7 linked regions of the Macaca fascicularis genome follow. The protein of the gene in region 2 interacts with the protein of the main gene of each other region in a pairwise test. Links are inferred from orthologs where the notes say so. Each region holds a gene or a part of one and is shown on either strand. Other genes may lie near its edges.

Region 1 (3,500 bases), about 40 Mb from region 2:
ATTGCAGATAGCTAGTTGCTTCTCCTAGGACTGGGATGACACAGGGGAGAGACTGGAGTTAGCAGAACCTAGAACCTTGAGGGAAGAGCCCCGCAGAGCTGGGACTCAGACCTCGAATGAGGGGACACTACTGGTGCCTCTGAGGGGTTGTAATGAGGCTGGTTCTGGGAGTGTCAGTAAAAGCTGCAGACTGGAACCAACTGCTACTGCCAGGGTAAAGGGCCAGGCTTACACAGTACTGACAGGAGCAGGAAGCACAAAGGAAGGAACGAGGTGCTTGTCACTCCAGTCACTGACAAACAAAATTATAATTTGCACAGTTAGGCCCAGCATCACCAAGTAGAGTCTAGAAGGGTGGATTTGGAGCTGACAAATAGTAGCTTAATATCTGTTACCACCTACTCCTTTGACTACTAGTATATCCACACACTTGTACAGATACTTGAATTTCATTTGACAACAACAACAACTTTATACTTTCTCCTTAAAAGATGAACTTCTTCATAAAATCAGAGTTCAGCAAACTTTATAAAGGGCTTCATAATAAATACCTTAGGCTTTCATGGTCACTTATGATCTTTATCACATATTCTTGTTGTTTTTTTGTTTATAATCTTTAAAAATATAAAAATCATTTTTAACTCAGGGGTGTACGAAATGAAGCCATGTACCCCTCGATATAAATGAAGTTGCTCTCACCCTTTCTCTAGAAAGGGATGATACCAGTTAATGTGGCCATCTCTGGGCAGTGGTCATGGTATTGATTACTATATGATATTAATTACCCTTATAAGTATTCACATTCACAACAGAATATTTTTAATTTAAAGGCAAAAGTGTAAAGTTAACCACTACTAGCAATTCATACATAAAGGTAAAAGGAGGTATAGAGGAACAGAAAGATTAATTGCTGTATTTACAGGAAATATACAAATACAAAGAAGAGAGTCATAGCTGCTCTGATTCTTATTTTAGTAACTGATCATGAGGCTGTAGTTAAAATTTAGAACTTCCTTTGTTCATTAAATGGATGCTTAGATCCCTTTGCCCTTGGGCAATACTTCAGCTGGTCTTTTTTTAAAAAAAGTTAATACCTAGAAGGGTGACCTAAACCTTCATTTTTTGTGTCTGCATATCCAGGGTTCTTCAGTGCGCCACCTTTTCTTTTTCTTCTGTTTTATTTTAAATTAATTTGTTGCCGGAGATTTCTGTTAACTCTTCATATCTAGTGAATTTTTCATTTCATATATTTTATTTTTCTTCTCTTGATGTTCCATCCGGATCTTCCTCTCCCCAGCTATTTATTGAGGTATAATTAACAAATAAAAATTGTTTATATTCAACTGTATATCTCAATACAACTTGATGTATTGATAAACAAACACACACAAACACACACATTGTGAAATGATTACCACAGTCAAGGTTATTAACATATCTGTCACCTCACATAGTTATATTTCTTTTGGTGTGTGGTGAGAACACTTAAGATGTACTCTTAGCAAATTTCAAGTATACAGTACAGTATTATTAACTATAGTTACTATGCTGTACATTAGATCTGTAGAACGTACTCATAACTGAAAATTTGTACACTTTGACCAACATTTTCTCATTCTTTGCCCTGCCCATCCCCAGCCCCTGACAACCTCCCTTCTAGTCTCTACTTCTGTGAGTTTGACTCTTTTCAGATTCCACGTATAAGTGAGACCCAGACGGTACTTGTCTTTCTGTGTCTGGCTTATTTCACTTGGAATAATATTCTCTATGTTTATTCATGTTGTCCAAATGGGAGGATTTCCTCTTTTTAATGGCCTAATATTGTTCCATTTCCTTTTTGGTTGGGGAAAGGTTCCACTTAAAATAAGACACCAGTTTTGGTTAGGAAAACTTGAAAAATTAGAAACTTGTAACATGGTACCTGACACAGGTCCCTAATGTAGGTAATCTGGAGCATTCTGGTTCGTGCATATGATTTGTTAATCATAATAATAGATGGTTATTAGAGGGGAGGAGACATAATAGTTGACTCTCTTTTGTGTGCCAGTGCCCATGCACTTTTCATTTAATCCTCCCAGTAACACTGAGGTAAGAAGTTTGCCTCTTGTTTGGAAATTCTGAAAGGATAAGCAGATTGTCAAAGATTGTGACATAAAGAACCGTCTGGAAAATATTTCAAAAGTATATGGCCTTTAAGTTCAAAGATAATACATTTGAGATGAAGACAAGCCAATATACTGGTGAAACAAATGCCAGTGAATTCAAAGGACAAGAGAGAGTCATTGAATCTGTTAGAGATGATATGTGTGGGAATAAGTTAGTGAAGAATTAGTAATAGAGCCAGTGCCATTTTCATAGACATCAAACTTTATCTGAAGGAAATTATTTGTGGATTGCCCAGTTAATTATCATTGTTCTTTTCAAGGAGTGTTTCTAAATATTGACACATTGTATACGGTTTTGTCAGCAGTTGGTAGCAAGACCTTCCAGTGTGAACTATATGGTGGCTCCTGTAACTGGTAATGATGTTGGAATTCGTAGAGCAGAAATTAAGCAAGGGATTCGTGAAGTCATTTTGTGTAAGGATCAAGATGGAAAAATTGGACTCAGGCTTAAATCAATAGATAATGTAAGTATTTTAAATACCTATTTGAATTTGTCTAAATATCTTACATAATTGATTAACGTTAAAATAATTTGAAATGGAAATGCTTTAATTATAATAGTGCATCTGTTGTTGAGAATATTTTAAATCTACTAACTTAAATTTGTTCAGTTGGGGACGTTCTATTTTGCAGAGGCATAGCTGGGACTTCCAACCACATTACTTTGAAAGATGTTTTTCTTTTCTGAATATTCTAACTGGAATACATTTCACTGGCCTACGTATATTATAATGTACTTTGTATAATAGAATTGTGGCAATTAAATAGAGCAGATGTGAAGGTTAAGAAAAAACTGACCAATAATAGTCAATGTCGGTGTGCCTTTTTTTTTTTTTTTTTTTTTTGAGACACAGTCTCGCACTGTCGCCAGGCTGCAGTGCAGTGGCGCGATCTTGACTCACTGCAACTTCCGTCTCCCAGGTGTGTGCGCATTTTTAAACCAAATGATCGGTATTTAACTTGTGAGGTGGTTTTTGCAGATTTGTTATTAACATCCTTCATATTTGAATTTAATAGGTCATTTTTTGAGTTTTTTGAGTAAAAGTTTCTTTCTAATTAGGGCAGCCATTACTTTATAATTACCTCTCACCTTAATATACTGAATATATGAAACAGGGTTACTCTCTGAGGAACCATTTAGAATTGTTAAGGACGTGCTGAGTCTTTACCCCAATTTACAGTTTCAGCCATTACCTTATTGGATTCAGTTTCAGTCATACATCTGTAGCTTAGTGCATCCAGCCTTTCAACACAGAAAATGGTAAGTGTGGTGCACTGCTGTAAATGGAGGAGGCTGATCTTGGCAGGAAGCCCCAACCCTGCCTGCCCACCCAG
Region 2 (4,127 bases):
CCCAGCCTGTGCTAACCATTCTTCTACTCAAAGCGCGTACTTTTAAGGCCAAATTAAACAGAAAGAAATGGAGGAAACTGCTGTTCAGGCACCAAAGCAGACCCCAAAGGATAAGCCATGGCTTTTCAACCGAAGTGAAGACCTGAATCATAAGGGTACCCGTCTCAAGACGCAGCTCCGTCCATTTCCAGAAATTGTCTCAGCAGGTCCGGATGCACCCCTGGTCACCCAGAGCAGCTCCTGAGAGGAGTACTAACTCTGTGCTGCAGGGTAAGCCGAACAAACGCCATAAAAACGCCCCGGAGAAGCAGCCCCATGGCAGGGTGGCTGCAATCCTACCTCTCACGCCGCACCTGAAGGCCCGCCAGGCAGATAGGCTTAATCTCAGAGCCCCGAGGCAGGCGAGCTTCGCGTAGGTCGCTGCTTCCAGACCCCGGCTCCTCTGTCCGGAAGGGCTCTGCTGGCAAAGCACCCGTAGCCGGGAACCGCTCTCCGAACAAGGAGTCCAGGGTCCCTGAGGCCGACTCGGACTCACACCCCGCGCAGTCCCTGTCTTTCGCTCTGCCCGGCCGCCTCCTCCGCCCGCCGCCCGATTCAAATTCCCGGCCCCGCCCCTCGATGCCGAACTTACTCTACGAATCACTCCGCTACCGCCCCTTTCTCTGGTCTGCGCACACTCCGAGCCCTCCCAGTGACTTCCTGGGCTCGGAGTGGGGCCACCGCGAGCTGCAGTCAACCCGCCGACCACAGACACCTACTACTGACCTGTGACCGCGGGGACTACTTTCCAGGAGAGTCTCGCGGAGTAACGCTTCTGTTAGCGCTTTAACTCCGCCTCCCACCTTTCTATTGGATGCTGCAAACTTCGAAAAGACTCATTCAACCAATCCTAACAGAGCGAAGAGCTGGCTCTTACCCAATCACTCCGTCCCTACCGCAGCCGTTTCCTCGCTGGGCCGGCTTGTGGGCGGGGCTAACGCAGGAGGAGGGGCTGACTGGTGCTTGGGTCCCTTTCAGCGCTCCACCTCCTTTCCGTAGACCCCGCCCTCGTATGCAGATGAGCGCTACCTAGACTTGAGTGTGCGCCTGCTCAGTAACGCTGTAAGTCGCCGTCCGGCTCCAGGAGCCTCTCTGATTGGCTGATGCCCCTTCCCGTCTACTAGCCTTCAGCGTCTCTTCCCTCCCTCCATCCCGGCTAGGTTAGCCAGGGCCCGCCCGATACTGGGTGCTGATTGGCTGGACCCTGGCCGGTGACGCAGGTTGGTTGGTAGGCTGAATGTCAGTCTCGGAGAGGTGGGGGAAGGGCCCCAGGCAGGCTGAGGAGCCTAGGGGCGGGGTGGGAAGGAGGACCGGCCGAGCCCTGGGTGTGGGACAGAGTGCGTGTGTGTGGTGTGTCCCCAAGGGCAGGAAGGTGGCGAAGGGAGGCGAATCCGAGTGGGTGGAGGGAGGGGAAGGGCGGGAGGAGAAAAAGGTGGGAGTAGGACCAGGTGGGAGGGTGGCGGCTCACTCAGGACCCAGCGGGGGCAGCGCGATGAGGCGGGTGACCCTGTTCCTGAACGGCAGCCCTAAGAACGGAAAGGTAACGGGGGCGTGAGTGGGCGCGGCGGGCCGTGGGTCGGGGCGAGGGTGGAGGGTGCGGACCCGGCTGGCGGGGCAGCCGTGAAGTTGGGCAGAGGGGCTGGGAGGTGGGCGTGCGCGGGCTGGGGGCGCCCGGGGACAGCACAGGGTCCCCGCGGCCTCCTCCCGACCCTCAGGACCCTTGTCCCCGAGCCTGCCCTTCGGCGCCTCAGCTGCCTGGGGGCCGGCGCGGGTCGGGCCGGGGGCTCCGGGGCTCCCGGATGCGCGGTGCAGGGGGCGCGGGGACTGGGGAGCGGAGAGGGCCGCGGTCACCTGGGCGCCCGGGCGGTCGCGCCTCTTCCCGCCTGTCCCCGAGACCCCGCTCCCGCCTGCGGGAGGAGGCGCGCCGGCTCCCGTGCTGAGTAATGGTCTGCTCGGAAAGTGGCGGCGAGCACCAGAGCCTGTGGAGCTGGGTCAGGGAGACAGAAGTAAACTGCCCGTGGATAAACAAAATCTCCCATCCGAGGTCGAAGACAGGATTTTAAAAATGGGGGCATTTTCTTGTTGATTTTTGCCCTTCTCTCTGAGATGCCTCAAGCCCCCACTCCCCGACGCCGCCAAACTTCTCTGTACTCGTTTTATTATTTTGCCTTATTTTGATTCCCTAGAGGACGGGGACAGCAGACCCAAAAGGGATCGATTTGACAGTCGCCTTTGCTGTGTTAGGTAGGCCTTTGCGGAGGGTGTGGTGCTAAGTGTTCTTCCAGCGCTGGAGCAAGCCAAAATGAATTCTCTTCCTTCCCAGCCTTTTGCCCCACCCATGAAAGTTGTTCTGCTACTTTGGGAAATTTTGACTGTTCAAGGCAGACATTTACTGCGTTGCTAAATGACACCCAGAAGTAACTCAGCCTTTACGAGTCTAAGGTAAAGGTAAATGGGTTTCACTGTGTTAGTTGCCAAAATACTCTGGTGCCTGCACATTCGGGAAACACTGTAAATTTTTAAATAGTGAAATTGTCCAGTGGCATTAAAAATGGCTTTCCCGTTATTCAGTGTAGAGTAAACATGCCCTGAAAATTCGAACCAGAGTGTGGTTTGTTGGCTATAATTTTGTGTTCTTCTGATCCTAGAGATTTAATACTCATTTTAAAACAGAATTGGTATAAATTCGAGTTCTCGAGTTATCATGAATGCTACCCCGAAAATATGCTCACGAAGTTTACATTTCTCATCACTATTAACTTTTTCTAAACCTGTTCTGTAGTTAGCTGGTGTTATCTAAAACGTATGTTGTTACTCTAAGAAAGATTGAGTATATCCAAAATTGGTAATATTTCTCAAAAACAAACTTCCGATTGACCTTTTTAATGCAGTATCTCTGCTATGTTACTCATGGAAGACAAATATTTAGACCTAGTCATAAATATTTTTGCTCTAAATCTCTCCCGAATCCACTCAATTTGGTTGTCAAAAATTAACTGAGTTGGTCTTTCCATATTGTTCACACGGATTTTTTTTAAACTATCTAGTTTTGACTACATTCTTGGATTTAAATTTTATTTACTTTAAAAATATTCTGCTAGAGAATCTCAGAAGATTGGGGGAAATGCATCTCAAATAATTAAATATGAATATGTTCATGTTACAACGATCATAAAAATCCAAACTGGAGAATACTAGATAAAAAGAAACAAAGCCGTGATCTTCACTGCTCAGCTGATGAACATATTCTAAGATAACGTTGGCAGTGCTTTCTCTCCTTTCAGTTGATTAAAAAATTTTATAATTACTCTTATTTGACAAAAGAGCTACATAATACATAACAGCTTGCATTTTTATATATAAAGTGACTAATTGGATTGGCATGATCATGACATGAATGTTCATTAAGAATAAGCTAGGGAAAAGTGCTACTCAAATAGAACAGAATTTGATTTCCCATCCACCAGTTGGAATATCTGTACCACTTACTTTATCTCCTTTACCTCGCTTCTGCTTTTATTTCCTGGTTATAAGAATAATCTGTTTTTTTTCAAATAAGTTTCCCTCTTATAGCTTGTTTAGTGGTTACCAGACTGTGAGACTATAAAGCCCAGGGAAAGGTGTGGAGAGGCAGAGAATTCTTCCAAGGTGCTGTGTTACATGCTCACCACGAATTTTCTGTGTATTGAATAAATGTAACTAGTGGTGAATGTATTTGATGTTGGAGAGAGGGCTATGCATTCTCTGAACAGTGGTTTCCAGAGTGAGATGGCACACCACGGACGGTGTCCAAGATGATTTATTGGAGGTCAGGAAGAAATATACCTTTTGTTTGTATCTTACACTTAAAAATATAAAATAATATGGAAACGTGATTTTTTGGATCTGGAAAGACACAGGTGCCTCCAGTCATTGAACATGTCAGCTGGTCTCAGGTCTCCTGTAAGAAGGGAGGGCCTTCACATGTGAAAAGGTTAATTAATAGTGGCTTCTTCACTGATTGGTTGTCATTGACATTGTGCTGTGGAAGCTTACAACTGCCACGTTAAGATTTATATCTAGTTTTAACTAAATTAACCCTCACCAAA
Region 3 (4,193 bases), about 16 Mb from region 2:
TATTCATTCCCTTTAGGGTAATATATCTCTATCTTTTCTGACGTTACACGACTTGCTCATTGTGTAGTGAAAACACATTAACTCAAAACATTTTTTAGCCTTAATTGCCGTTCCTTATAAAGAGAAATATTAAACGTATACCATTTTCAGACATACTATGCTCACGTGAACTTTCCAATTAGCAACTTCCTTTGACAATCTATTTCTATGAAATATTACTATTATTTTATTAAATATTATATACGATCAGTCTAACGTAGTAACATAATAGTGGAATAGACGTGATCTTAAAATCTATATTAGCTGTGTGATTTTTGACAAATAACTTTCCCTCTGTTTCCCATCATTTGAAAAAGGACTAAAAGTTCTAAGTGACTCCTAACATTAACAATCTAATACCCTATAATCAAATCTATAAATATTTTCAGCGGAGAGCTTTAAACTTGCCGCTGTGAAGTTTAAGGGAAATAGCACCTATTATATATCAACCCCATCATTTTCTTCTGTTGGCAAAACTGCAGACCCTGCTTGGGTTGTAGTAATACGGTGACCGCCACGTGAAAAACATTTTTCTCGGTGTTTTCTTTTAAATATGCCAACTATAGACTTTAACCAGCTGTAAGGCAGTGCCTGAGGTGTGGAGACACCTGAGGAACTGTGTGGGCTTTCTCCCTCGAGGTGGGCCTACGATGAGTTTTAAGCAAAGGGCAGCAGTCACCTGGCACCAGGAAAAACTCCTTGCCCTCTGGAGGGAGTCGCCCCAGGAACGTGGGTTTTGTGTTCCTGTTTAAAGTTGAGTCCTCTAGAACCGAAGAGTCCCAGACATCTGCCGAAGGTGCCCTCCCAGGCCCCCTGCTTGGGAGCGCCCACCTGGAACCTGGGCATAGAGGAATGAAAATGCAGACCCGCACAAGCGTGAGGACACGCCGGGAGACCCCCGCCCGCCAGGAGTTGGGGCAGGTCCGGCTTGGGCGGGGGCGTCGGGGGAGGGGTGGTGACCCTGAGTCCCGCGCGGCAAGGGCGCGGGCCACCGCAGGTGGGGGCGTCGGCGAGCAGGCAAGCGGGGACGGAGACTCTGGGCTCCATCGGGCTTTGTTCCGTCACGAGCCGAGCCCTCCTTTCCGGAGAAGCCAATTAGATCTCCGACGGAGGAATCATCCGACCTGCGCCCCCGCCGGGAGGGGGCTCGGGAGGGGCGGGGCCCAGCGCTTGGCTCCTCGCGAGCGCGGCCGCGGGCTGCGTGGGGGAGTCCCGGCGCCGTCGCCGAGCCCGGCCCCGCCCTCGCCAGGCCCCGCCCTCGGGGCTTCCCGGGCGCGCGCCGCCCCGCCGTGTCCGCGCGCCACGCCCCCCTGCTCGCGGGCCGCGTGCGGAGCCGCGCGCCCGGGAGGCTCCCGGACCGTGGCGGCGGGCGGCGGCAGCGCAGCCCTCCGCGGGCCATGTCCTCTCCGGCGGTGGCGAGGAGTTCCCCGGGAGGGAGTCGGGAGATGGCCCCGGCGCCGCAGGGCCGAGGCCGGTTCTGGGAAGTGGGCGGCGGCAGCGGCCTTCGGCTGGAGCGCGCGGCCGCGGAGTCGGAGCGCTGGGAACTGCTGCTCCGCCGCGGGGAGCTGCTGGCGCTGGGCGGCCACCTGAAGGGCGCGCTGGAGGCGTTCGCGGCGGCGCTGCGCCGCGGGGCCCCGGCCAGGCCCGAGTGCCTGGGCGCCCTGGTGGACTGCCTGGTGTTCAACTACCGGCTCCGCCACGGGCTGAGCTGGAGCGCGGCCCCGGCTGCGGGCGCGGACGGCGGCGCCTGCGGGCTCCTCAGATGCCTGGGCTGCCGGGGCTTCCTGAGCGAGCCGGTGACCGTGCCCTGTGGCCACAGCTACTGCCGCCGCTGCCTGCGGAGGGAACTCCGCGCCCGCTGCCGCCTCTGCCGGGACCGGCTGCCGCCCGCCACCGCCAGTGCCACTGATGCTGAAGGGACCGCCCCGCGGCCGCCGCCTCTGGCAGCCGCCATCGCCGCCTCAGACTTCAGAACCAGCGTCGTCCTCAACCACCTGGCCGAGAAGTGGTTCCCGGGCCAGCGCGAGCGGGCCCGGGCGGCTGGCAGACTCGGGGAGCTGCTACACCAGGGGCGCTACCGGGAGGCCCTGGCCGCCGCCTGCGAGGCGCTGCGAGCAGGTGACCGCGCGGGGATGCGGCGGGGCCGGGCCGACCGCACCCTCCTGGCCCCGAGGGCCGGGGACCCGGAGCTTGTCTGCGTCCCGGGAGTCTCCTCTGCTTCCCCGGGGCCGCTGGGCCACTGGCGTGTTGGGTCTCGGGGTGCTGGGGGGTGTGGGAGGGGGCGGCGCCCCGGGGTGCTTCGGTCACAATGGGGATCGCCCTGGGAGCCGACTGTGACGCAGCGCGGGGAGGGGCGCTCGGCGCGGGGTTCCCTCGGCCGCGGCCTGGCCGTCGGGCGCGCGCTCCGGGCGCGGAGTGGGTGACCGGAGCCGTGGGTGCCCCGGCGCGGGATGGGTGGGAGCTGGGCTATCCCGAGCGGCCGCTCGCTTCCTGCCGCGCGCTTTCCGGGAATTGACTCTCTCGCGCCAGGCCCGCCGCGGGGAAACGACTGCCGGGGTGGGGAGAGAATCCCCCACGAGGACAACTAGGCCGGGAAGGCGGCGTCTCCCTTCCTCACCCACAAAAGTCACCGGGACAATTGGGAGCCGCGGGAGGGCAGAATTGCATAAGCTGGGGGCGGGGGTCGTTGTGTAACGGGTGACGTCCGGTGGGCGTGGCGGGAGCTCCGGGCGGGCACCCGGCCCCGGGAGGCCCCGCAGGCCGCCGGGCTTGGGGCGCGGGGCGGAGCTGCCCCGGGTGGTCCCTTGCTACCTGGAAATGCCTGAACTGGTTTCTCTCGAAAGTTTCAGCCGGCCTGTTTCAGATCATGCTTATTTCCTATGTACTTTGCAGTGCACCTAGCTTATGGTAAAGATGAGAGGGGCTTCCTGATCCAGAGTTCTTTGCCACGCTTCTCTTGGCCGTTCCACTTAGGATCAAGCTGTGGGGAAAGGCCTTGTAGGTCTTGAGTGCATTTCTTAGTCTCCAGGAAGCAGCCTCGGCCTCCTAACCTAGGTTAGCTAGCACTTTCTTCTTAAGGTGGTTTTAGGCGCTGAAAGGGGGCAGTGTCAAGCTTCTCTTATGTAAAAGGAAGAGTTGTTCTTTAAATCAGTAGTTCTTTACCAGCCGGATTTACCTCCCCTCTCTCAGGGGACATTATCTAGAGCAATATCTGGAGACATTTTTGGTTGCCACCTCTTGTGGGGGTGGTGCTGGTACCGACATCTAGTGGGAGAGGCCCGGGGTGCTGCTCAGACATCCTATGAGGCACAGCAGGATTCCCACAACAAAGAATTATCAGGCCCCAAGTGCCACTGTTGATAAACCTTGTGTTACGCGTATTTCAAGATTTTAGTGTCTATCCATTGGCATGATAGCTGGGGGAATGGCATGATAGTTGGGGGATAGTTGGGGGAATAATCCCCAAGAAAATAGACATCTAGAATAGCAGCTGACTTTAGGTATTACAGGTAAATTTATAGACTGTGTAACTGAAAGGATCATCTTTCGGGTCATCTTTTGTCCCAAGTGCTTAGTCATATTGAACTTACGTCAAGATCTTGCATTGTTTAATATCTTCAGAGTTCGAAGCACAAACACCGGAGATTTTTGTATTCTTTCAGTGCCTTTATGAGGAGTAGGCAGTTATAAAATAGAAAGATAGGCTCAGAACAAAAGAAAAGTGTTTGGAATACAGAATTCTGATACGGATGACTCTGTCCCTCTGGGTGAATAAAGAGAAGAGAAACTGGACTCCGCTGTACAGACCATCTAGTAACTGACCATGGTATGATTTTTAAAGCAAAGAAGCAGATGCCAGGCAGTGAAGACTTGCGCACAGTCACAGTGTTAACTGGTTGAGAGGCAGCGCTGTATCTTCCACTTCTCCTAAACGTTGGTCTAGGGTTCATCCTGCCTTATAGCTTATCTGATGAAAATGTTTATTATACATATCCAAAGAAGTTTTTTTGGTCACTGAGGCTGAAACTTATGGACAGTACTACTGATACAGTGATTCGACCTTAAATTAGGTGTTTCACAAGAATCCAGGTCCTGGGCCATGGAAGAACAGTGAACACATTTGCTAATTGAGGTCTAGCTTAACATTTTGTGAC
Region 4 (2,888 bases), on a different chromosome or scaffold from region 2:
TATGGCAAAATTTAATGGTAATTAAAGCTGGTATATAGTGGTTCATAACATATTTTCTCTTTCAAAAAGTACTTAAAGCTTTTTATAATAAACTGCCCTTTCAAAAAATGTTCAATACATATTGATATCATTTGGATATCCGTCCCCACCAAATCTCATGTTGAAATATGATCCCCGATGTTGGAAGTGGGGACTAGAGTGAGATGTTTAGATCATGGGGGCAGATGCCTCATGAATGGCGTGCTGCCCTCCCTGCAGTAATGAGTTCATGTGTGATCTGGTTATTGAAAAGTGTCTAGAACCTCCTTCTTCCTGCTCTCTTCCTCTCTTTCACCATGTGATATGCTCACTGTCCTTCAGTTTCCTCCATGAGTAAAGCATCACGCTTCTTGTACAGCTACAAGTCAAATAAACCCTGAGCCAAATAAACCTCTTTTATTTTTAATAAATTACCCAGCCTCAGGTATTCCTTTATAGCAATGCAAACAGACGAATACACATATCATTGACAAGGTTTATTATCAAGAAACTTTAGTAGTAAGTTTTTAAAAAGAATGCTCGTTTTAGAATACATCAAGAGGACATTCTGTGACAGGACATATACAAACAAGGATAATTAAAATATTAAATACTATCTAAATTAAAAGACCATAATTCAAATTGCTAATTATAATCTTTGTGTCAGTAGAAATAACTACAGTTCCCCTTCATGAAATTCACCCCCACGTTCTCATGAAGACTAAGAAGTCTCACCACAATTTCAGTTATTTAATTTACAATAATCAATGCTGAGTTTTCGGTGCTGAAGCATGCACTGTTACAGAAAGCACAAAATCCTATTCACAGGGATTTTTAGTTTTCTTTAAAATGTATCTCAAGCATCTTTTAAAGTGCGAGCTACAAAAAGGCTGTATCCTTAATGAAAAAGGCTTCTTTCTAAAAGAAGTATGAGACAGCTATCCAATATTGCAGGAACGGTTATATAACTAACCGAAGGAACCAGCAGCACTCTGCTAACTCGGTTTTAGTGTAGCAACCTCCTCCTTGGTCTTCTACTACCAGCCAAACATGTACTCCATTGCTTTGGATACAAGACTTTCATCTTTTTTTGGCGTTTGTCTGTCAGAAATAACCTATTAAAAACACACACACACACAAAGCTGTTAGGTTATTGTTACTTCAGTGTCATAGTCAATTCTAGAATTGCTCATTTAAAAGAGAAACACCAAAATGCATGTATAGCACTGAATTGTATATTTTTAAAATTAATATATGGACTTAGAATATCCTTATGCTTTTAAGAATGCCAAAATTTCATTTCTTTGGAAAAGCAAATAATATCTGTTTCTTAAATTAGAAAATTTAATAGCTGTGTGCAGTGGCTCATGTCTGTAATCCCAGCACTTTGGGAGGTCAAGGTGGGCAGATCACTCGAGGTCAGGAGTTCAAGACCACTATGGCCAACATGGCCCCATCTCTACTAAAAATACAAAAAATTAGCTGGGCGTAGTGGCACGTGCCTGTAATCTACTCAGGAGGCTGAGGTAGAAGAATCAACTGAACCCAGGAGGCAGAGGTTGCAGTGAGCTGGGATCGCACCACTGCACTCCAGCCTGGGCAACAGAGTGAGATTCCATCTCAAAACAAAAGAAAGAAAACTAAATAAAACAAAAGCTGCAAAAAATGGGAAATTTAAAATAACAGTAACAGAAACTAAAGAAACAGTTCTAGAATGATCTCCAAATTTCAGAGGAAGTCAAAAAACTGAACTACCACTATCTGCCCTACTAAAGCACAAGTGTTTCATGTACTGTGTTTGCAGGACCTGTTTCTGCAGCTGGTTAAGTTCAAACACTTGGCTACTCAGTAGGAGACAATAATATACTGAATGAGGTCATAATACTTCTACCATTCTTCGAAGAACATAATTAACTTCTTTAAGCTTTTTTGAAATGAGAAATTTTTTTCTGTCTGAATGGGAGTTGGTCAATGTCTTCATTTCAATAACCAAAGCTACTCCAACCTAAGGTTCTGCACTTTGGATACCATCAATTTAGTCACCAATTTAATAGTGCTTTAATGCGCCCTCATGTCAAAGATGTACATGGGATACATTTTGTATGTATGCAAATATAACTTAGAAAAAGCTAAAACAACTCTCAAAAAATTTTAAGGAATGGCAAATAAATTGTTCTTTAATTCATGATAACTTTCCAATTGGCCAAGATGCTAACTTTAAAAAAGAAAATTTTTAAAGTGTAAAGGTTTCATCAAGGTAATAGCCTCATCAAGAAACATTTAATAGCATACAAATCAACACAATGAAAAAGTTAAGCATGCTATGCACTCAGCCGCTAAGGTACATCTTTTTTTTATCTAATCCTTAAAATACCTGATAATCACTAGTAGAGGCTTTGTATGCTGTAGCAAGAGGTCTCATGGTAGAAATCCTAGGAGTACTTCCAGGTTGTGTTGGTGTACCTAGAGTTTTGATTGGTGGTGTAAAGGCTAAAGATGGAGATGATAAAGCACATCTGTCACTGCTTTCCATAACACTCTAGAGAAACAAAGAAACAACTCCTTTGTTTATAAAAGTAATACATATCATCCAGTATTACAGTCTACTTAGAAAGAAAATTTAATTAAAAGATAAGGATGAAATACTTTATTTGCTCTAATTAAACTTCCAAATAATTTTAAGCTTGAGAAAACATTTGCTCCTTAGGTAGCATGAGATTGAATGCTCAGCCAGAAATCTCACTTCAGTGACCTCAAACAATCTCAATACAACTATAGACCACAAAAATAAGAATTTCCTAAAACACTATGAAAAATCATCAAGGACAAAAAAAGTTCTTAGGGAAACCTGGAAAAGAATCAAAATCCAA
Region 5 (2,477 bases), on a different chromosome or scaffold from region 2:
AGGTAGATCAGGTGCTGGAAGAGTTTGGTTTTAAAATGGGACCTTTTAGAGTGTCCGATCTTGCTGGGTTGGATGTGGGCTGGAAATCTAGAAAGGGGCAAGGTCTTACTGGACCTACATTGCCTCCAGGAACTCCTGCCCGAAAAAGGGGCAATAGGAGATACTGCCCAATTCCTGATATGCTCTGTGAATTAGGACGATTTGGCCAGAAGACAGGTAAGGGTTGGTATCAGTATGACAAGCCATTGGGTAGGATTCACAAACCCGATCCCTGGCTTTCCAAATTCCTATCACAGTATAGAGAAACCTATCACATTGAACCACGTACCATTAGCCAGGATGAGATCCTTGAGCGCTGCTTATATTCACTTATCAATGAAGCATTCCATATCTTGGGAGAAGGTATAGCTACTAGCCCAGAGCACATTGATGTTGTCTATTTACATGGATATGGATGGCCAAGGCACAAGGGCGGACCCATGTTCTATGCTTCCACAGTTGGGTTGCCCACAGTTCTAGAGAAGTTGCAGAAATATTACAGGCAGAACCCTGATATTCCCCAACTGGAGCCCAGTGACTATCTAAAAAAACTGGCTTCTCAGGGAAACCCTCCCCTGAAAGAATGGCAAAGCTTGGCAGGCTCCCCTAGCAGTAACTTGTGATTCAGCCTTCCAGATTATGCCTCACATGCTAGCATCAGGTAATGCTCACTGAATTTCAGTGAAATTAAATCAAAAATCCAAAGTAAGATTGTTCTGAAATACAAAGCAAAAGAAATAATCAGTAGAGTCTTCTGTGTGACGACTCTAATGGTCAAATCTTTAGGAATGTGCTTCCTATGCCTCTGAATCTGTCCTTATCAGATAAATTCAATGCATGAACTTGTGTGAATGTAATATCATAATCGCTGATGAAAGAGGCTCAGGCATAAGTTGAGATTCTCAAATGTTTTGATTATTGGATACATGTGTCATCAATTAATAAATGATAAATGCAGCTAAGTCATACATTGATTTTGACTCCTTTCAATGTCACACACATAGTATTGATCAGAAATCTTATGAATCATACATACACTCAACAAACATTGAAGTCGTAGGAAAAACATGGTTGGAAATTGGTAAGGGAACTGAGTACTTCAAACCAGCACAGGGAACTCAGATTAGTATGGCAAGCCTTTCCTCTTCTGGTCTTTCCTCTTCTGTTTATGAAGAAATAATAGAAAGGAGTAAGTCGTTAACTTAGTGTAAGAAGGGTCTTAGAGAACATCTAACCTTCTGGAATTTCCCAATTCTATGATAGAGTAATGACGCCAGTTTCCCTGTCATGACAGGCCTCTGTGATGTTACATATGGAAATGGTTGAATCTTGAAAAATCTAAAATTGTTGCAAAACATATTTTGTATAATTTTGTTATAAGAGTTCTTCTCTTTTTACTTTTTGCGTTGTGTAGTCAAAAATTAAGGGGCTGGTCAATACAAAAACTTGTACACAAATATTTATAGCAGAATTATTCATAATGGCCAAAAGTTGGATACAACCCAAATGTCTATTAACTAATGAATAGATAACTCTGGTATATCCATACAATGGACTATTATTCAGTCATAAAAAGAAATAAAGGACCAGGCACAGTGGCTCACACCTGTAATCCCAGCACTTTGGGAGGCTGAGGCAGGAGGATTGCTTGAGGTCAGAAATTTGAGACCAGCCTGGGCAACATAGCAAAACCCTGTCTCTATAAAAAATACTTCCTGTACATTAGTGGTTGCCTAAAGCTAGAATTAGGGATGATGGATGGGGAGTACAGGATTCATCTAATAGGTACAGGATTTCTCTATGGTTCATGAAAATGGTCTAAACTTATTGTGGTAATGGTCACATAACAATATATTAAAAACTATTGAGTTATATATTTTAAATGGGTGAATTATATGGTATGTGAATTGTATCTCAATAAAGTTGTTAGTAAATAAATGGGGCTGAAGATGTTATCCTTCATTGTGGTGGAAATGAACTTTCACAATATTTTCACCTGTGAACCCAAACAAAATGAAAGTTCTGATGGAAAAATCTTGAATGAATAGAGTATAAGTTTTCCGTTGTTAAAGAGCAAACAAAAAACCAACAAAAAATCCAAGTGTGCCTTGAATTGTACAGAGCACAATTATTACGTTTGAAATATATACTACTTAATTTTATATAATTTGGTTTGTGAAATTAAAGACATCAATGAAAATGATTCCTGAAAGTAGTAATTTTGTCTCCAAAGTGACTTGTTTTCAAATTAATGTTAAAAAAAAACCCACTAACTTTTTCTTCAATCCTGGAATTAATTTTGAGTTCTTGCAACTTATTTTCACCCTACACTAGCCTCTAGATTGAGGTTTTGAAATTAGAGCGTCTATGAATAGATTTTATCAGTCAATAACCCCTGAAATGTTATGATAAAGTTTGTGTATATGTATCTGAGTACA
Region 6 (3,500 bases), on a different chromosome or scaffold from region 2:
CCCACAGCTCCGGCTACACTCAATAAACTGCATGCCCTTGGACTTTGTTGAGCTTTCCAGTGCCATCCATGAGCTCTTCCCCACAGGGCCCAAGAAGGTATGCTCCTCAGGGGACTCACTGCCCTCCCCCTACCCTGTGCACTCAGAAACAATGATTGCCAGGAAGGTCACTTTCAGCACCCACAGCCTCGGCAACCAGCAGATATACCAGCGAAGCTCCTCCATCTTATCCTTCAGCAACACTGAGGAGAAGGCCAAGGTGGGTCTGGAGGCCTGTGGGAGAGCCCAGTCAGCCACCCCCGCCAAACCCACAGATGGTCTCTACACCTACTGGTGTGCTGGAGCAGACAGCCAGTCTGTACAGAACAGCAGCAGCTTCCACAACTGGTACTCATTCAACGATGGCTCTGTGAAGACCCCGGGCCCAATTGTTATCTACCAGACTCTGGTGTACCCAAGAGCTGCCAAGGTAAGAAAAGTTCTGGGCCCAGTGGGGAAGGTGGGAGGGTTTGGGGTACAGAGTAGAAGTCAGTAGTCAGGAAAAGTTGCACTTATCTCTTTGACCTCTAGGATCTGGTCACTCAAATCTGCTCCTCTAGACTCTTTGTGGTCATCCCATTCAAAAGGGATAAGTTCCGGGAATCTTAAGTAACCCAAGATTAGCTTAAACCAAACAGTCAATATATTTAACTTATAGTCGTAAATATATCTGAAAGCCCTACCTCCACTGCAAAGGCAACTTCTCAACTGAAAGAGAACCCTATTTGGGAACCAAAGTAATTTGAAGACACTACTTGGCAGTGTAATGTTTCCCAAAGGAAAGCCTGTAATAGAGACAGCACAGAAATTGGAGTTACAAATGCAGGCTCCATTACCTACCAGCTGTTTCCTCTAAATTGCTACCTTTCCTAAAGCAAATATCCAGACTCTCTATGATTTGGAAAAATTGGGAGGATCATCCCCAATGAAATTTCAACTCTTTTGAGATTCAACCCGCCTTGAAGGCAGAGAGTGAAGAGTGGGGTCTCTCACAGATCTCTATAAGCGCCATTGCCTGGCTTCAAGGAACATGACTTCCCTTTGACCCTCTTGACCTAACATGAACAACATGAACAAATGACCTTTTCTTTAACATACCTTTCAAATCTAGTTGAACCCACATTGAATTGTTTGTAGAACACTTTATTAAGGTTTATGGAGGAAAAAAATTAACGTGCAATGAAATATTCTATTTGAGTTCCTCTTTCCTCCTCTTGGATTTTTTTCTAGAGTCAGCCCATGTCCTGCTCCCACGTGGCAGAGTTCATCTTTTGTCTCTCATAATCTGAGAACACTCCCAAAGACTTTTAGATCCTTGAGTTCTAAACTAGCAGTTCTCAAACATCGATGTGCACCTGGGGATCTTGTTAAAATGCAGATTCTATTTTAATAGGTTTCAATGGGGCCTGAGATTCAGGTTATCACAAACTTCCAGGTGCTGCCAATGCTGCTGTCTACAGCCCACACTTTATTATTAAGGATCTAAAAAATGAAGGCCAGACACAGACCAAGCTCTACTTTTCCATTCTCCTGACACATCATAATCTATGTTTTGTTGTCTATAACTGACACAAAGAACAACCCATACTTTGCAAGATAGAACATTCCATGGGCTATTGACATAATGAAGTGTTTCTGCCCTTCACATAAGCAATGCCCATAACTGAGCAGCTGAACTACATTTCCAAATGATACTAGATCAGCAAGGCCTATAGTGTATGCTTATTACCTCAGGGATAGCACTGGGTCTCATCTCCTGACCAACTCAGACCTCTTGAGAAGTTGGCAGGCTCTTGCTATGGAGCCAGAGAATTGGTAGTATCTGCTCTATACCTGGGCATGGAAAACAGTCACCCCATGCCACCTATTAGTCACCCCTGATGAGCTCAAAAAAGGGACCTATGCAAAACAACTCAGTCAAGTCATTTGCTGTCAAAAGAGGACACCTAAACCTATTTCCAGATAGTGATATTCGATTTTAAAATATCATTGATTCATATTTTAGGATAATGGAATGGACTTCATACAGGAATCATAGTGCTTAGCAATGCAGAAGATTAAGTCTATGTTAACATCACTCTCAAATCTTTAGGATTTTAGCATGGAAAATATTCTAAAACTTAATGTTGTAACTTTTCAATATGTACAGTTAATATCCTAGAGATTTTTTAAACTCAATTTTAGTTCTAGGAATCTCTTCCAAGAAAATTCTTAAAAATTCAGACAAATATTTATGCCCAACAGTATTTATTACAGCATTTATTAGAGTATAAAATTAGAAACAACCTAAATGTTCAACCATAGAAGGATTAAATTATTTCGGGAGAAATTTTAAAGATGGTAGTTTACCGAATTTTTAATGATTTAGGAAAACATACAACATAAGTAAAAGAAAATAGAAATCAAAGCAACATAATCCAAGTTATATACATATATGTTTGTGTGTGTGTGTGTTCTGAAATTGCAAAGAAATAATAATGAATTAACTGAATTGTGAGATTACGAGTGATGTTTATTTTCTTCCCCTCTATTTTTCAGTATTTTTCAAGCAGGAGGACAATTGTCACCTCCACGTTGGCTGACAGTAACAGTCACAAACCTTCTGTTTGTGAAACTCATCACAAGCATCATGCCAGGCCTCATCACACAGCCTTTCAAGACTTATGCATAGTCTAATTAAAAGTCTTCGGCAGCTACAGGGGATAGGGTCAGCTTAAACTCACCCCACAGATAGTCAACATCACAAATCTTTAATGGAAAGAAAACTGAATGATGTATACTAGTACCACACCAGTATGTTCATTTCTTCCATAGGTTTACTGGACATGTCCAACAGAAGACGTGGACTCTTTTGAGATGGAATTCTATGAAGTCATTACTTCCCCTCCTAACAACGTACAAATGGAGCTCTGCGGACAAATTCGGGACATAATGCAGCAGAATCTGGAGCTGCACAACCTGACCCCCAACACAGAATACGTGTTTAAAGTTAGAGCCATCAATGATAATGGTCCTGGGCAATGGAGTGATATCTGCAAGGTACTGTGTACATTATTTCTCCGATTTTTTTTTTTCTATGATAGGTTCTGGATGAGACCCTGTTAAGATGATCATGAGATTATAGAGCTCACCATGGGACTCTTCCTCTAAGCACAGAACATTTGTTAACTTGAGGCCAAAGAGAGGGCTGCTGGCCTCAACCAGACTTCGCAGATGAAGCCTGAGAATTGTTCTATTTGATTCAAAAACATTTGTTCTAGGCATTGTGTAGAGATGTAGAGATTCAGAGGAAAATAAACATAATCCCTGCCTTCAAGGTGCTCAGGGTCCATAAAAAAATAAGTGTTGTGTGAGAAGGATATGAAATGATTGTGGTATGAGAAAGATAAAAATGAGGTGCTATTCTCAGGCAAGGATGGGGTGCCAGATTTAACAAATAAAAATATAGGATGCCCAATTAA
Region 7 (3,500 bases), on a different chromosome or scaffold from region 2:
TTTAATAAACAGTGCATGATTTGCCACTTCCTCTTCCTCCTGATGTTTAACTGTGGGGGCCCGTGTCTAAATGCAGCGTCTGTTGGCTTGGGTCCCCAGGTAACAAGGTGGAGTAGAGTCCCCAGCCCAGATGCAAAGCACACAAAACATGAACAAGGCATAAACTTTGGTTGTCTAAAGCCACAAAATCCTCAGATCGTTTGCTGCTGCAGCATAGCCTGGTTCAGCCTAATTGATATGGCCTGTTTCGATTGCCTATGCCAGGTTTCTGTATCTATATCAGTACTCTCTATATCAGTACTCTCAGTAGAAAGAACCATCCCAGAACATGCAACCAGAAGCCACAGATAAAAAATCCCTCCCCTTCCTAGCTACATGGGGACTCTGCTGTCTGCCATTCCAACCTGGGGCAGAGTGCAAGGGTAGGCTGGGCCACTGGGCAGTTTCCAGAGTCCCTCTTCCTATCCCAAAAGGAAAAGGCCCATTTGTCTCTAGGAAATGAGGGGTTGGGGACATGTCCAACCCAACCCAGAACCACAAATCCTCAAAAAGCCAAGGAACAGGGCTGTACTCACACTTGTGGCATATTGGATGTCCTTCCAGATGGAGGTTTCCCGAGACAGATCAGAGGCCTCAAAGAGGTTGTCCATGATGACCTCACCAATCATGTCATGGCGGGAGAAGCGGTCGAAGTCGAAGACGCTGAGATGCAGCTTGCGATCAGCCAGCTCCTCATAGGGCACAGGGAAGTGGAAGTTCTCATCAAAGGTGGGGTTCAGGGTCTTGCGGTGCACCCGGGTCTGCAGCTTGCATTTGCGGTCAGGCAGGAGGTAGATCTTGACATAAGGGTCAGAGCTTCCACAAAAGTCCTTGGCAGGGAGGTCAAAAGCCTTCAGGATACGCACAATCAGGGTCTCCGTCTCGTAATCATAACGTAGGCTGAAGTTGATCTTCCCGCAGCTTTTGGTGGCCTCAGACTTGGCATCGTCCCCATCCACCGACTTCTGCTTGTAGAGCTCAGGCTTGATGCGGCCAATGCTGGTGGGCTGCTCTGCTGCTGGTGGAAGCTCGTTGCCATAGTCTACACTGGAGACGTGCATCTGCCTTGGCAGGTGGCGCTTGAAGGACGTGTGCCTGGTAGAGGGCAGGAGGGGGCAGAGGGAGTGTGGTCAGGGCTCAGGGGAAGGGGGATGAAGGCAGACACGAGCCTGGAAGCCCTGGCTCATTGTATCCCTTGTTGAGCCCCCTCTTCCTTCCTCTTCTTGACCCCACTTTTCCTCTGCACACACTTGGTGTACAAGGTTGTGGTGAGCATTACATGTCTTAATATATGTAAAGTAGTTGGAATGGCGCCTGATATATAGTAAGCTCAATAAATGTTAGCCATTGCTATCATAATCACTTTTTCCTGCTTTTCTGTTACCTGCTTTTTAGGTTTACTTCCTAGTAGACAAAACTCTGGTTTCCTTATTAAATCATGAGATCCCTTAAGAGAAGGACCATCCCTTCTTATCATCAGTGTGGCACCCCCTTCATCACCGTCATCAGCATCTCCATTTGTTGGGCATTTGCTATACAGCAGGCAGCGGAGTGGTAAAAGCATGGGCTTTGGAGTTAGACTGCATAGGTCAGTCTTGGCTCTGTCACTTTCCAGTTGAGATCTTGGGAAAGTTATTTAACCTCTCTGTGCCATAAAAACGAGGATAATAAAAGTAACAACCACATAGGATTGCTGTGAGAGTAAAATGAATTGATTACATATGAAGTGCTTAGAACAGAGCCAAGCATAATCATAAGCAATATATGTGTTAGCTCTCCTTATCGATTACATTCATTCTTCCATTGGCTCCTCACAACTGCCATATAAGTCATCAGCCTTATTTTACAGTTGGAAAAAGCGAGGCTAAGGGAAGGTGAGGAACTTGCCCAAGGCCATATGACAAACTGTCAGTGTGACCCCTAGCATGTTCATTCCTGGCCTCCAGTCTGAAGATCAGGACTCATTCTCTTTGGTTGGTCCCCTGAGGGCCTGGAGAGCCATTGCAGGGACCTAGGAATCCATCAGAGCCCTAAGTTTTGAGTAAATACAATGCCTTACACATGCTTGCGCCACATCTTTTAAAAGTATTTCTGAATTTGGGGTAGGTTTTTGTCGTTACGTTTTTCTTGTTGCTATTTTCAGTTAAAGGATGCTGTATGTATTTACAATTGTTGTCATACAGGGAACTCTGAAAGGCTTTAAAGGAATCCTCATTCTCAAACTATTAAGACTCTCTTGCCTTATCTGCCACGCACTGCAGACTGTAGCTATCGGGCTTTACAGACATATCCCTAAACACACCATGAACTCTTACCTCTCCAGGCCTTTGCCGTTCTCTTCCTTCTGCCTGAAGCCTTTCCTTCCAAACATCCGACACTCCCCAATTCCACTATTCCATTCCCCTCATATCCACACATACCCCAAGTGCACACCACATGTACAGCAACCAGCCTCAAAGGTTTCCCTTTCGTGAAGTCTTTCCTCCTCGTTGATCACCCATCATGGATCACATCTTCTGACATATTTCTCCATCAAAGGATATGTGTTATTATTTCTGATCTCTGATCCTCACAGGCTGGAATCCCATAGATGTATTAAGGGAGTGTGGAGGTGTGGGATCAGGGAAGGGAGCGGTCCACTCCTCACCTGGTGGATGAGGCTGGCTCTGTAGTTTGCCGCTGCAGCCGCGTGTGACGCATGATGTGCTCCTTGACCGACATCTGCACCTCAGCTGGGATATCTGGGGATGTGTGGCTGATCTTCACGGCCGCCTCCAGGAAGCCCAGGGTGCTGGGGTCCTTCAGCTTGTCCGCCATGTTGCCTCTGAAGCTGGGGCTCTGGAGGGCTTCCAAGGGGGGATTAGCAGAAGAGGGACTGGAGGCCTCCTTGTTCCTCCAGGGCATCCAGCACAGCTTCCAAAAGAGAAAGAGAAAAACTGCCACCAGGGCCACGCCACACACAATAACTACAACTGCGAGGAGGCTGACAGAGGTGCCTGCCCTCGGCATGAGCCAGGCAGGGAGGGACAGACAGACAGAGGCGGGGAGAAGCGGGTGAGGGTGTTGGAGGAGGGGGCACACAGAAGGGACAAAGACGGAAGAAGAGAGAAGAATGGTCATGAGAAAGCTGCCAGGTCAGAGGGAGAGGTGGTTTCAGGGTTGACTCTTGATTGTCCACTTCGTGGAATATCTGCAGCCTTGTGTTCACCTCAATCTGATTCTTCCAGCATCATCCTCTTTCCCGCCCCCACCCCCTCCCCCCAGCCAGCTTGGGGAGCACCTGGGCTGTCTTCTCTACTGCCTATTGGCGTGTGCACAGGGAAAGGAAAGTAATTTAAATAGTAGCCTAAGCAAATGTGCAAATTCGTGAAGCATGCATGTTCAGACGCTGTTTGAATTTCTATTAAAGCTGCTACTATGGCCAGACTTACGAGTCATTTTTGTCTACAGCCTACTTCCTT

Evidence for each region.
Region 1: the proteins of KCTD9 (region 2) and SDCBP interact in binary tests that used the Homo sapiens proteins (3 or more experiments, as listed by UniProt). The two-hybrid records come from large-scale screens. The link is inferred for Macaca fascicularis from reciprocal best matches to the Homo sapiens genes KCTD9 and SDCBP.
Region 3: the proteins of KCTD9 (region 2) and LONRF1 interact in binary tests that used the Homo sapiens proteins (3 or more experiments, as listed by UniProt). The two-hybrid records come from large-scale screens. The link is inferred for Macaca fascicularis from reciprocal best matches to the Homo sapiens genes KCTD9 and LONRF1.
Region 4: the proteins of KCTD9 (region 2) and NUP35 interact in binary tests that used the Homo sapiens proteins (3 or more experiments, as listed by UniProt). The two-hybrid records come from large-scale screens. The link is inferred for Macaca fascicularis from reciprocal best matches to the Homo sapiens genes KCTD9 and NUP35.
Region 5: the proteins of KCTD9 (region 2) and EHHADH interact in binary tests that used the Homo sapiens proteins (3 or more experiments, as listed by UniProt). The two-hybrid records come from large-scale screens. The link is inferred for Macaca fascicularis from reciprocal best matches to the Homo sapiens genes KCTD9 and EHHADH.
Region 6: the proteins of KCTD9 (region 2) and TRIM42 interact in binary tests that used the Homo sapiens proteins (3 or more experiments, as listed by UniProt). The two-hybrid records come from large-scale screens. The link is inferred for Macaca fascicularis from reciprocal best matches to the Homo sapiens genes KCTD9 and TRIM42.
Region 7: the proteins of KCTD9 (region 2) and SYT6 interact in binary tests that used the Homo sapiens proteins (3 or more experiments, as listed by UniProt). The two-hybrid records come from large-scale screens. The link is inferred for Macaca fascicularis from reciprocal best matches to the Homo sapiens genes KCTD9 and SYT6.

Annotation. Positions count from the first base shown.
Region 1 is NC_088382.1:68,553,354-68,556,853, forward strand, and holds part of SDCBP (syntenin-1), read left to right. Parts: intron 1-2,467; coding exon 2,468-2,629; intron 2,630-3,500. UniProt on the Homo sapiens protein: Multifunctional adapter protein involved in diverse array of functions including trafficking of transmembrane proteins, neuro and immunomodulation, exosome biogenesis, and tumorigenesis.
Region 2 is NC_088382.1:28,648,388-28,652,514, reverse strand, and holds the start of KCTD9 (BTB/POZ domain-containing protein KCTD9), read left to right. Parts: upstream 1-1,327; 5' UTR 1,328-1,531; coding exon 1,532-1,579; intron 1,580-2,225; coding exon of another isoform or gene 2,226-2,283; exon of another isoform or gene 2,284-2,481; intron 2,482-4,127. UniProt on the Homo sapiens protein: Substrate-specific adapter of a BCR (BTB-CUL3-RBX1) E3 ubiquitin-protein ligase complex, which mediates the ubiquitination of target proteins, leading to their degradation by the proteasome.
Region 3 is NC_088382.1:12,685,945-12,690,137, reverse strand, and holds the start of LONRF1 (LON peptidase N-terminal domain and RING finger protein 1), read left to right. Parts: upstream 1-1,393; 5' UTR 1,394-1,436; coding exon 1,437-2,157; intron 2,158-4,193.
Region 4 is NC_088386.1:78,717,134-78,720,021, reverse strand, and holds the end of NUP35 (nucleoporin NUP35), read right to left. Parts: intron 2,558-2,888; coding exon 2,393-2,557; intron 1,134-2,392; coding exon 1,056-1,133; 3' UTR 501-1,055; downstream 1-500. UniProt on the Homo sapiens protein: Functions as a component of the nuclear pore complex (NPC).
Region 5 is NC_088376.1:97,125,400-97,127,876, reverse strand, and holds the end of EHHADH (peroxisomal bifunctional enzyme), read left to right. Parts: coding exon 1-662; 3' UTR 663-1,977; downstream 1,978-2,477. UniProt on the Homo sapiens protein: Peroxisomal trifunctional enzyme possessing 2-enoyl-CoA hydratase, 3-hydroxyacyl-CoA dehydrogenase, and delta 3, delta 2-enoyl-CoA isomerase activities. Catalyzes two of the four reactions of the long chain fatty acids peroxisomal beta-oxidation pathway.
Region 6 is NC_088376.1:43,544,831-43,548,330, forward strand, and holds part of TRIM42 (tripartite motif-containing protein 42), read left to right. Parts: coding exon 1-469; intron 470-2,853; coding exon 2,854-3,078; intron 3,079-3,500.
Region 7 is NC_088375.1:120,219,533-120,223,032, reverse strand, and holds part of SYT6 (synaptotagmin-6), read right to left. Parts: intron 3,036-3,500; coding exon 2,687-3,035; intron 1,135-2,686; coding exon 576-1,134; intron 1-575.